Saccharomyces cerevisiae S288C: one gene and its partners. The protein of the gene in region 2 binds, or shares a complex with, the protein of the main gene of each other region. Each region holds a gene or a part of one and is shown on either strand. Other genes may lie near its edges. The genes, in order: MRPL33, MRPL9, MRPL32 and MRP35.

Region 1 (2,475 bases), on a different chromosome or scaffold from region 2:
AGGGTTTCCACTTCCTGACAATTACTTTGTGGGTCCCATTTCTTTACATAAAATAGATAGTCTAATAAACCACGCCAAGTGTTTGCCCAATTTGAAATTTCAGGCTCACCTCTATCATTATCAAGACCTGCATTTTCTGGATGAACATTCTTATACCCAACAGAGTATAGTGAAATAGCCCTCATATCCAATGAGTTATGGAGTTGTGCCATTTTATCTACGAGTTCAGACTGTTCTTCATTAGCATGAAATTTTTCAGGAACGGGGCTCTCAGGTTGATCTTTACCATATTTTTCAATATTCCCGCCTTCTTCGTCATCTGCACCTTCTTCGCCATCACGGACCTTGGAAAACTTATATGAAGTGCTGCACCCAATGACGGTCTTTGCCCTGTTTCTATAGTGCACTGGTTTGGATGTCATAGATAAATATGGTGTGTCGAACGGCTGGGAATTAAAATCACCACAGAAAAAAGGAAACCAATGAGATAAATCCCCATCATTTTCGTTCTGTAAAACATTCACACGATGCATGAATTCCTTCATCTTTTTTAAAACAATATAGCATTGTCTTGTTCGTTCATAAGTACCAAATGGATGCCAAAATAGATGCGTAGTGCCGATCAAGATACCGCATTTTTTAGACGATTTTTTACCCAAATTCGACAGTACTTTCTCAGAAAACTTCAAGGCTAAGACTAATCCCACGTTGTTTGTCGTTGTTCTAGTGGAAATGCTTTCTGAACTTTCTTTATCATAGTCGATTAGCATTTTGTCAACCTGGTGAAATAATTCTCTCCTCCACATTATCGCGACACCATGGTTTTTTGTAGCATTTCTATAATATTGTCCATCGTATCCCAATTTACTGAATTCATCTTTCCAAAAGCTTTGAAACTGAATATGATCAATCTCTTGCAAACAAATGACATCGGAATTATAATATTTAAACTCGTTTAAGAGAACTTTAGAACGCCTGTACCATTTTAAAGCGTCACCACTATCCGGGAACAGCTTTCTGCGGATTAGAGCTTGCGCCAAGCAATTATAAGTCATTAGCTTGAATCTAAATCCAGTTACTGGCTCTGCCTCATGTAGAGATAGGAAAGGTCTTCTGATAAAATGCAGCTCTGGCGGGCAGTCCGGATCAACACCTTGAGCCAACATTGCATCTCTTTTAGCCTTTCTCATAACTTCCCTTTCGGCACGAACCTTAGCGATATGTTCTGGGGTCACTATGGGCTTCGATTTTTTACCTTTCTTGCCCTTCTTTTTATGTTGAAGTAACGAATCATCATTGGTTTGATGTTTTGCATCTTTTACAGATTTATTAATTTCTACTTCTTGGTCGGGCGCAACATCTGGGGCAACCACTTTGACTTCTTTGTCTTGTGTCATATTTACTTAATACTCTTAACTACAATTAAGAAGCTATAAGGAGACTACAATCTCATCTTCTTGCAACACTACTTTTCCTTTCCTCTTGCTTTAGTGCAACCATTTTTTGAAAAATGAATGGTCTTTCTGCACGAAATATCTCTCGAAGAGCTTTTCTAGATATTAAGGATAAAGTATATCATCCCAAAAGTTAGGTGATGGAATCAATATTGATGGACCAGCTAAAACACGTTGAAAGCAGATATCAGGAATGGTGTTTTACAAAGTCACGTTGAGTAGGTCGCTTATCGGTGTGCCACACACAACGAAGAGCATTGTCAAAAGTTTGGGTTTAGGTAAAAGAGGGTCCATAGTCTACAAAAAAGTAAACCCGGCCATAGCTGGCTCCCTAGCTAAAGTAAAAGAGTTAGTCAAAGTAGAAGTAACAGAACATGAATTAACACCATCGCAGCAACGAGAGTTGAGAAAGTCAAACCCTGGGTTTATAGTGGAGAAGAGAACCATCGACTGAAACAGCGAAAATAAGGCAACTGGATTTCCTTTCTTCTTGATATTCCTGACTTATATATGTATATAGTATTATTTTTTCCTGCATAGGCACATATGTTAATAGTAATTTATGCAATTTTTGATACAAAGAAATCAATACACTATCTCGATTTCATATTTTATGTATGTATATATTTACAAGAAGAAAATTATGCATGGTCTATTGAATTTTATATTTGGAAAAAGAGTCCCTTTTTATAGCTTTTCCAACTCTAACATTCCTTCTAAACAGTCAATTTTTGAAATTTTACAATTCTTCACGATATCTCCAATCATCGGATAATGCATAGAACTTGGATGCAATTTTAATGTTCCTCTAGCGAACGATAAGTCTGGAAAAACACATCCAGTAAATCCGTTCTGCGGTACTGATGTTACCATTACATCGAAAGTCCTTTCTGGCTCTAGTTTGGTTAGCTTTTTTAAATAATTCAGTGTCCAGTACGTCGACGAATTACGGCTAGCCCTTTTTAAAATATCCGCTCGAGATTGAATTGGCCAGATCAAACTGTCGATTTGTGTTTGATTA
Region 2 (3,101 bases):
GCTAATATGTTAAGTAATGCATTCCCCCATTTAACATCCGAACAAATCGCAAGTTTTCTCTCTGCATTAACTAAACAATACAAAGACTTAGTGGTCTTCAAAGGCACTTTGAGGGACTTTTTGGTGCAAATCAAAGAAGTCGGAGGTGATCCAACAGATTATTTGTTTGCTGAAGATAAAGAGAATGCATTAATGGAACAGAATAGACTAGAGAGGGAAAAAGCTGCCAAGATTGGTGGGTTATTAAAACCTTCCGAACTTGATGATTAGAGGCGGTGGCGTATCATTCTTTAAATTTCCAATATTTTTTCCCTTTTATTAACTAGTCTCTAATTTATAACCACGGGGTTTTCATTTCTTTTTCACTTCATATTGTATGTAAATTGGTTCTTCAAAGTTCCAATACTCTAATATAGTACTAAATACTATTTAGCCAACTTCATGGAAAAGTAAAGAATATTATTTGAAGATTCTTAAGTGATTACCCATTTTATTGTTATTATTGATGTATGTACATGATTGTAGTAAAATACTTATACGCCTTATGCTCAAGTTTTTTTGATTGCATCTTGAATTTTAACGAAACTGTTTTTGGGCCCAGCCACAGAGCCTTTAACCCAAATAACATTATTTTCATCGTCGACTTTCAAAACTTTAACATTTTGGATAGTAACATGCTCGTTTCCCATATGACCAGGCATCTTTCTTCCTGGCAGTACCCTACCTGGGTCTTGGTTTTGACCATAAGAACCACCGTGTCTATGCATAATAGATGTACCATGAGATGCTCTCAAACCCTTGAATCCATACCTTTTCATCACACCAGTAAAACCTTTGCCTTTGCTGACTGATCTGACGTCAACATATTGGCCTTCTTTGAAAAAAGAGGGTTTCAATAATGTGCCAGGTGGTATTAATCCCTTTTCATCTTTAACTCGGAATTCGGCCACATGCTCTTTTGGGTTAACAACTTTAGAAGCGAAATGACCAAGCATTTGTCTGCTAACTTTAGACAAATGCCTTGATCCGTACCCTACTTGACACGCGAAGTACCCATTGACCTCCGAAGTTCTATGCATTATTACTTCAACATTATTAACTTCTAATATAGTAGCGGCGCTTCTTTCACCAGTAGATTTATCAAAATAAGGCATCATTCCCTTCTTACGAGTAATTAAACCGCATCTTTTTGGTAGCCATTTTCTCGCATTTGCCAGTTCAGGTGAGTGATTAATCGCTGGAGCCTCGGTTGTTATACTGTTAGCAATACTAGGAGCCACTAGAAAAGGCCGAGTAGAAGAATATCTAACATGAAGTTTTGATATGCTAAATATTGATCCCTGTAGGAACTTCGACATGGCTATATTTGTTCTCTCTTGCTTTCAAAGAGTTGCCCTTTCTCGTCCCAGTTGTCAATTTATCGTCCATATATTTTTCAATAAAGTTCGTTTGACAAGGGATTACCCGAAAACAAATATCTCGCGACTGTAATAGGAGAAATGGCATTAGCATTTCAATTAAGGAAAGAAGAGGATCATCGAGAAACGAATTTATGGTGCTTATTTACTGTTACAACATTTCATGATTTTGAATTTTATTTATACATGTACATTCTCGTACGGTGTTATTTCGTAATTATGGGATGTGCCCAGTTGCTTCCTTAAGTCTTCCGTAGAAGCTTTAAAAGGTAAGATTTCCCCCACACTAGGAGGCTGCAAGATGTCAGTGTCATCCAATAACCCACTAACACGGAAATTTATTGCATTTGACAACGTTGACGGCGGTTGTGATAAAGAAGATGATGTTGTAGTGGATGAGTTACCAGGGAGATATTGGGCCTTTATTAAATTTCTTAAAGATCCTGCAGGCTTATAGCGAGGTTTCATAGAAAGTTCTGATGGGTTGGTCATAACAACACTTTGTCTAAGCTGATATGGAAGGGGCGTACAAAATTGCTTTGTCAAAGATGTTGACGGTATTTTCGTAGGCGAACTGTAAAACATTTCAGGATGATCCATTGGATTCAACGCTGTCCCATTAAGCCTAGCTGTAGGTACATGTTTTAGTGTTTTTGGAGGTTTAGGCCTTCCTTTGAATGACGTCAAGGAATGCGAAGAGGTGGAATAAATGAATTGGGTAGGCGTGGGCAAATCTCCGATGTTCTCATAATTTTGAGGATGTTCTAACGGGAGGGGATAATTATAGTAGTAATTGTCATCATTGCTCTGGTTGCAGTGATCTATAAAATATGTAGAATATTGCTGAGCAGAAGTAAGATTTGACTGACCCGAACCCTCCGAAAGGGCCCGTACGGGAGCCTTTGCAGAGTGAATATGGTCCTTAGCGACCGTGTCAGAATATATTGATGAGGTAATTCTCGTTGAAAGACCATTCGGTGGTGGGAATGTAAGAGATAGAGACGATTCGGGAATCACTTTTTCTCTGGTTGCTACTTCTGAATATACTGACGATGCAATGTTTTTATTCTCTTGTGGTGCCGGCACTTGCAGATAATCAGTTGCATCTTCATATTCCTCATTGGCGCTGGAACTGGAATCAATTTCTTGGACAGTTGTACTTCCGAAGTGACTCTGTTCAATTAATGTAGTATCATTTGGATTGTCTTGAGAGCTCATATTTACACTTTTTCTTGTAGCGATGTTTAATTTAGAGTCACGCCGTATCGAAGAAGTTACAGAGGATCGTATCGTGCTATTACTTTTCTCAAAATAAATGTTATAAATGCTTCTTATTCTGTCAATATTTTCTTCCTCCTCTCTCGAACACTGAGGCTCGAGCCCGCTACGACTCGTATAATTCGATTTAAGTCGATTATCGTTGTTATGGCTGGACTTTTCATTTACATCAGGATTTGACGTACTATCACATCTTTGATCACAGTCTTGCCCAGTATTTGAGTGTTGTGGTGAAACAATCAGCTCAGAATTCTCTAACGATTCGAAAGAAATCTTATTCGAAAGGTCAATGTGCTTGGAGGGGACCGATAACTTGCTGTTATTCTGCGAAGCCAGTGAAGCAATATTATAAGCGGAGGGTGCATGCTCATTGATACGCCTCACATAATCTTTGAAAGATTGTGA
Region 3 (2,771 bases), on a different chromosome or scaffold from region 2:
AGAAGCCAAGCCCTCCACTGAAAAGAAGACCACTACTTCTGATGCGGCTAAGAGACAAACTAAACCTGCAGCAGCTACAACTGCAGAAAAGAAGGAGGACAAAGGATTATTATCCTGCTGTACTGTCATGTAAGAAACAACAGTTCGCGTCTAATATTTAGTTCTTACTAACATTAATTCTATCTCAGCAGATATATCAATGTAGGACGTTGGAAAATTAATAAAGAATTAACTCTTTTTATTTTATTTTTTCCTTTTTATATTAAAAGTATATTTCTGTAAGTCCTTGTACTAATAATATCATTTCCTAATATTTTGAAATATAGTTGTTTTTTGTCAAGCAAAACTCTTGATTTCAAAGACCTCATTTTGTTAAGCCAAAAGCGAAAAATTCTATTTCGACTTTTCTTTCTGTTTCCGCTCCTTGTATTCTACCATTGATGCTGTCTTAAACAATAAATATACAGTTTGAAATTAAGTTTCTATATACAGGCTTAAGTTTATTTAAAAAGGAAACCACTAGATGAAAGATGAGCCTAGTCCTTTTTTAAAGTCCGAACGCGACGTTCCAAATAGTTATCTTTATCTTTCAAATCCTTGGTATATTTGGTATCTCTTCTACCAGGATATAGGACTCTTTGGTCTAGTTCGGAAAGTTCCTCCTCTTGTCTCGGCTTAATTTCTTCTTTAGCGGTATGCGTTTTCCATATATGACTTATTTGTCCAACACAATACATACACAGTGTATTGGCTCTCTTATAATGGCCGCATGATGGGCACTTATTCAAATGGTGAATCATCTTCAATTGCTTCTTACCTGGACCGTAAAGTTTTTGCCTTTTTTTTTGGTGTGATACTTTTTTTTTAGGAACTGCTAGTAGAATACCATTATTAGAGAAAAAATCTTTATCTTCAGTGTCCTTATGATCTTGTTGTAGCTTTTCTCTCAACCAACGGTGGATAGATCCCAGTTGTTTTTGGCCTGGAATCTGCAGTGAAGGATTTCCTAGCGGTACCAACCACCCAATTGCAGTGGTAGGCACAATTTTGTGAAATGCTAATTGTTTACCAAAAATCAAAGAATTCATAGTTTGTTTGCTGATATTCCCTGGTGTTTTTGTCTCCAAGTTAAGGTATTATTTGGGAACATTGTGCCTTATATTAAGATTTGCTTTCTGAATGCTTGCGGAAATAATCGTATGATACGATGAGATTTCCTCGAGAGACCACAAATAGATCAGAATCGCTGAATAGAATATATGTAAACATGTATCAGTAATACTTAACTTTTTTCAGGCAAAGACAAGAAAATACAAGGCCAAGCCCCACGGTTACTACAAGCACTCTATAAATATATTAATGGATCCTCTCAGCTCAGTACAGCCTGCTTCTTATGTTGGTTTTGATACCATCACGAATCAGATCGAACATCGTCTGTTGAAGAAAGGTTTTCAATTTAATATAATGGTTGTTGGCCAATCCGGATTGGGTAAAAGTACTCTAATAAATACGTTATTTGCCTCACATTTGATTGATTCTGCTACTGGTGATGATATTTCTGCCCTGCCTGTTACAAAAACAACTGAAATGAAAATTTCTACTCATACTCTTGTGGAGGACCGCGTTCGCTTGAATATTAATGTTATAGATACACCTGGATTTGGTGACTTTATTGACAATTCTAAAGCTTGGGAGCCTATTGTGAAGTACATTAAGGAACAACATTCTCAATACTTACGTAAAGAATTGACAGCCCAACGTGAAAGGTTTATTACTGATACAAGAGTTCATGCAATTCTTTATTTCCTGCAACCAAATGGAAAGGAGTTGAGCCGCCTTGACGTTGAAGCCTTGAAAAGATTGACAGAAATAGCAAATGTTATACCAGTTATTGGCAAGTCGGATACATTGACTTTAGATGAAAGAACGGAGTTTAGGGAGCTTATTCAAAATGAATTCGAAAAATACAATTTCAAGATTTATCCTTATGATTCGGAAGAACTAACTGACGAGGAATTAGAACTAAACAGAAGTGTTAGATCTATCATTCCGTTTGCAGTGGTTGGTTCTGAGAATGAGATTGAAATAAACGGTGAAACCTTCAGGGGAAGAAAAACTCGTTGGAGCGCTATTAATGTTGAGGATATCAACCAGTGTGATTTTGTATATTTAAGGGAATTTTTGATTCGAACTCATCTCCAAGACTTAATCGAAACAACTTCCTACATTCATTATGAAGGGTTCAGAGCAAGACAATTAATTGCCTTGAAAGAAAATGCGAATAGTCGTTCCTCAGCTCATATGTCTAGCAACGCCATTCAACGTTGAATCTCATAAGAATGGTGGTGATTATATATCTTATGTTATTAAGAATTCTCAAATTATTCTATATGAAAACACCGTAACTTGCTTCTCTCCTTGGTTTTACATAATGACATAATGCGATCGAAAACTAGAGGTACAGGTATTGCTGGATTGGCGAGAGTTTTTACCTTCTTTTCTGGCGTACAGCTATCACCTTCTCGTTTGGTAAAATGAAAGAACATTTTGTTGTCTTAGCCAAATATTTAATCTATGAAGAAAACGGAGTTTACCGGTAATTCTAAATAAAAGTTTGGTTAGGGATTGTGCCTCATAGAGAAGCAATTGGTACTCATCTTATTAAAGTATTACTATAAACATTAGAAAGAGTCCCTGAGCGTTGCTAATGGGAAGCTATTCGCGCTTTTAGTAAATTATTAAAATACGCCAAAAATAAATGTAATCCGGAT
Region 4 (2,575 bases), on a different chromosome or scaffold from region 2:
TTGTTGAAATGAGTACTAAGGCTCTTGAATTAAAACCAGACTACTCAAAAGTTTTACTGAGAAGAGCTTCTGCTAACGAAGGGCTAGGAAAATTTGCGGATGCGATGTTCGATTTGTCTGTATTGTCTCTAAATGGTGACTTCAATGACGCCTCTATTGAACCAATGTTGGAGAGGAACTTGAATAAGCAAGCTATGTCTAAATTGAAAGAAAAGTTTGGCGATATTGACACCGCTACTGCTACTCCAACTGAATTATCCACCCAACCAGCTAAAGAACGCAAAGACAAGCAGGAAAACTTGCCTTCAGTTACATCCATGGCCTCTTTCTTTGGTATTTTCAAACCCGAGTTGACTTTTGCCAATTATGATGAATCCAATGAAGCTGATAAAGAGTTAATGAACGGTTTAAGTAATTTGTACAAAAGATCTCCCGAAAGTTACGACAAGGCTGATGAGTCTTTCACGAAAGCTGCAAGGTTATTTGAAGAACAATTGGACAAGAACAATGAGGATGAAAAGTTAAAGGAAAAATTGGCCATCTCATTAGAACACACAGGTATTTTCAAGTTCTTGAAAAACGATCCATTGGGAGCTCACGAAGACATCAAGAAAGCTATTGAATTGTTCCCAAGAGTCAATTCATATATCTACATGGCATTAATCATGGCTGATAGAAATGACTCGACTGAATATTATAACTACTTCGATAAAGCGCTGAAACTGGACTCAAACAATTCTTCTGTTTACTATCACCGCGGCCAAATGAATTTCATTTTACAAAACTATGATCAAGCAGGAAAAGATTTTGATAAAGCTAAGGAATTAGACCCAGAGAATATCTTCCCTTATATTCAATTAGCATGTCTAGCGTACCGTGAAAACAAGTTTGATGACTGTGAAACTTTGTTTAGTGAAGCTAAGAGAAAATTTCCAGAGGCACCAGAAGTTCCAAATTTCTTTGCTGAAATTTTAACAGACAAGAACGATTTTGACAAGGCTTTGAAGCAGTACGATTTGGCTATTGAATTAGAAAACAAGTTGGATGGTATTTATGTTGGAATTGCGCCTTTGGTCGGTAAAGCCACTTTGTTGACAAGAAATCCAACAGTAGAAAATTTTATTGAAGCCACGAATTTATTAGAAAAAGCGTCCAAACTAGACCCAAGAAGTGAGCAAGCTAAAATCGGTTTAGCTCAAATGAAATTGCAGCAGGAAGATATCGATGAAGCTATTACATTATTCGAAGAATCCGCTGATTTGGCTAGAACTATGGAAGAGAAATTACAAGCCATTACTTTTGCTGAAGCCGCTAAAGTTCAACAAAGAATTAGGTCTGATCCAGTATTGGCTAAAAAGATTCAAGAAACTTTAGCTAAATTACGCGAACAGGGTTTAATGTAAACAGTAAACATAAACTTAAAAACTTTTAGGAGAAGACAAAAACTAAGTAACAAAGTAGACTAAATGACAAAGGAAGAGCAGCAATGACATTGACATCTCACTTTGAAAATTTTTGTTTTCATTTTTGTTTCAATATACACGTATGCATGTTCTAATATATATATATATATCTTTTTCTTTTTCTCTTTCATTCTGTAAATAATTAGCAGTGCGTATAAACCACAACCAATTTTTTCAACCTTGAAGCCCTCGCCAATTTGCGGAGCCTAAAAAAATCTGGTCAAATACAAAAAAGATAGTATATATATCTATCATGAAAATTAGCTTGCATAACAAACGGCAACGAGGAGACCAAAACCAAAACATGTCTGTTTTCAATGTACTCAAACCACTACTTAAAGGTTCAAATAGTTTCAAAGTGAAGCTCAACGGCTTTCTATTCAATAACGTTTCTACAATAACAATAAGAACTTTAATGAAAACTCATAAAGGTACAGCAAAGAGGTGGAGGCGTACCGGTAATACTTTTAAAAGAGGCATAGCTGGAAGAAAACATGGCAATATAGGCTGGTCCCATAGATCATTAAAAGCCTTAACCGGAAGGAAAATTGCCCATCCAGCTTATTCAAAGCATCTAAAGCGGTTATTACCCTATCATTGAAGGTGGAATAATTATGTTCTCCTCTAAACCAAACGCACCGTTAACCCCAAATCAATTGTTTGAGTATTTGCTTTCGGTCTTCATGTATATAAATAAGTATGAAACAATAACCATAAATTTATACAATCGATAATACCTTAGAGAATTCAAGCGTTGAAGTAATTAAATACTATTTCGTCAGGCGCTTGCAACCATCTCGACATCATAATCCTAACCCCTCAAAATGATTGAAAAACTTGTAAATCTTAACGCTCCTGTGATAGTCTATAAAAAAACTGTTCTTTATGGAAGACTTTGATGTATACATACATACATACATATATAAATGTTTTATCAAATCTGGCCTATTTTTCACTTTGGCTGTTGCCGGTAAATTCCTTTTCAATCCATTTGTGCGTGATGTTGTCCCTCTTCAATTCTGCAGTAGGGAAGTAATGATAATTCGTTTTCAGTGAAATAGCGAAGGGCACATTGTCGAAAGTCATTAACCTCATTTTACAATAACTATTAT

Evidence for each region.
Region 1: MRPL9 (region 2) and MRPL33 share a complex: the UniProt entries of both Saccharomyces cerevisiae proteins name them as parts of the mitochondrial large ribosomal subunit.
Region 3: MRPL9 (region 2) and MRPL32 share a complex: the UniProt entries of both Saccharomyces cerevisiae proteins name them as parts of the mitochondrial large ribosomal subunit.
Region 4: MRPL9 (region 2) and MRP35 share a complex: the UniProt entries of both Saccharomyces cerevisiae proteins name them as parts of the mitochondrial large ribosomal subunit.

Annotation. Positions count from the first base shown.
Region 1 is NC_001145.3:840,295-842,769, forward strand, and holds MRPL33 (mitochondrial 54S ribosomal protein uL30m MRPL33), read left to right. Parts: upstream 1-1,647; coding exon 1,648-1,908; downstream 1,909-2,475. Other genes in the region: NGL2 (RNA exonuclease), read right to left, coding at 1-1,397; DSS1 (exoribonuclease II), read right to left, coding at 2,142-2,475. UniProt on the Saccharomyces cerevisiae protein: Component of the mitochondrial ribosome (mitoribosome), a dedicated translation machinery responsible for the synthesis of mitochondrial genome-encoded proteins, including at least some of the essential transmembrane subunits of the mitochondrial respiratory chain.
Region 2 is NC_001139.9:935,526-938,626, forward strand, and holds MRPL9 (mitochondrial 54S ribosomal protein uL3m MRPL9), read right to left. Parts: upstream 1,359-3,101; coding exon 549-1,358; downstream 1-548. Other genes in the region: exportin CRM1, read left to right, coding at 1-270; TOS2 (Tos2p), read right to left, coding at 1,599-3,101. UniProt on the Saccharomyces cerevisiae protein: Component of the mitochondrial ribosome (mitoribosome), a dedicated translation machinery responsible for the synthesis of mitochondrial genome-encoded proteins, including at least some of the essential transmembrane subunits of the mitochondrial respiratory chain.
Region 3 is NC_001135.5:116,937-119,707, reverse strand, and holds MRPL32 (mitochondrial 54S ribosomal protein bL32m MRPL32), read right to left. Parts: upstream 1,089-2,771; coding exon 537-1,088; downstream 1-536. Other genes in the region: YCP4 (flavodoxin-like fold family protein), read left to right, coding at 1-133; septin CDC10, read left to right, coding at 1,360-2,328. UniProt on the Saccharomyces cerevisiae protein: Component of the mitochondrial ribosome (mitoribosome), a dedicated translation machinery responsible for the synthesis of mitochondrial genome-encoded proteins, including at least some of the essential transmembrane subunits of the mitochondrial respiratory chain.
Region 4 is NC_001146.8:397,512-400,086, reverse strand, and holds MRP35 (mitochondrial 54S ribosomal protein bL35m MRP35), read left to right. Parts: upstream 1-1,716; coding exon 1,717-2,064; downstream 2,065-2,575. Other genes in the region: protein channel TOM70, read left to right, coding at 1-1,403; NMA111 (Nma111p), read right to left, coding at 2,409-2,575. UniProt on the Saccharomyces cerevisiae protein: Component of the mitochondrial ribosome (mitoribosome), a dedicated translation machinery responsible for the synthesis of mitochondrial genome-encoded proteins, including at least some of the essential transmembrane subunits of the mitochondrial respiratory chain.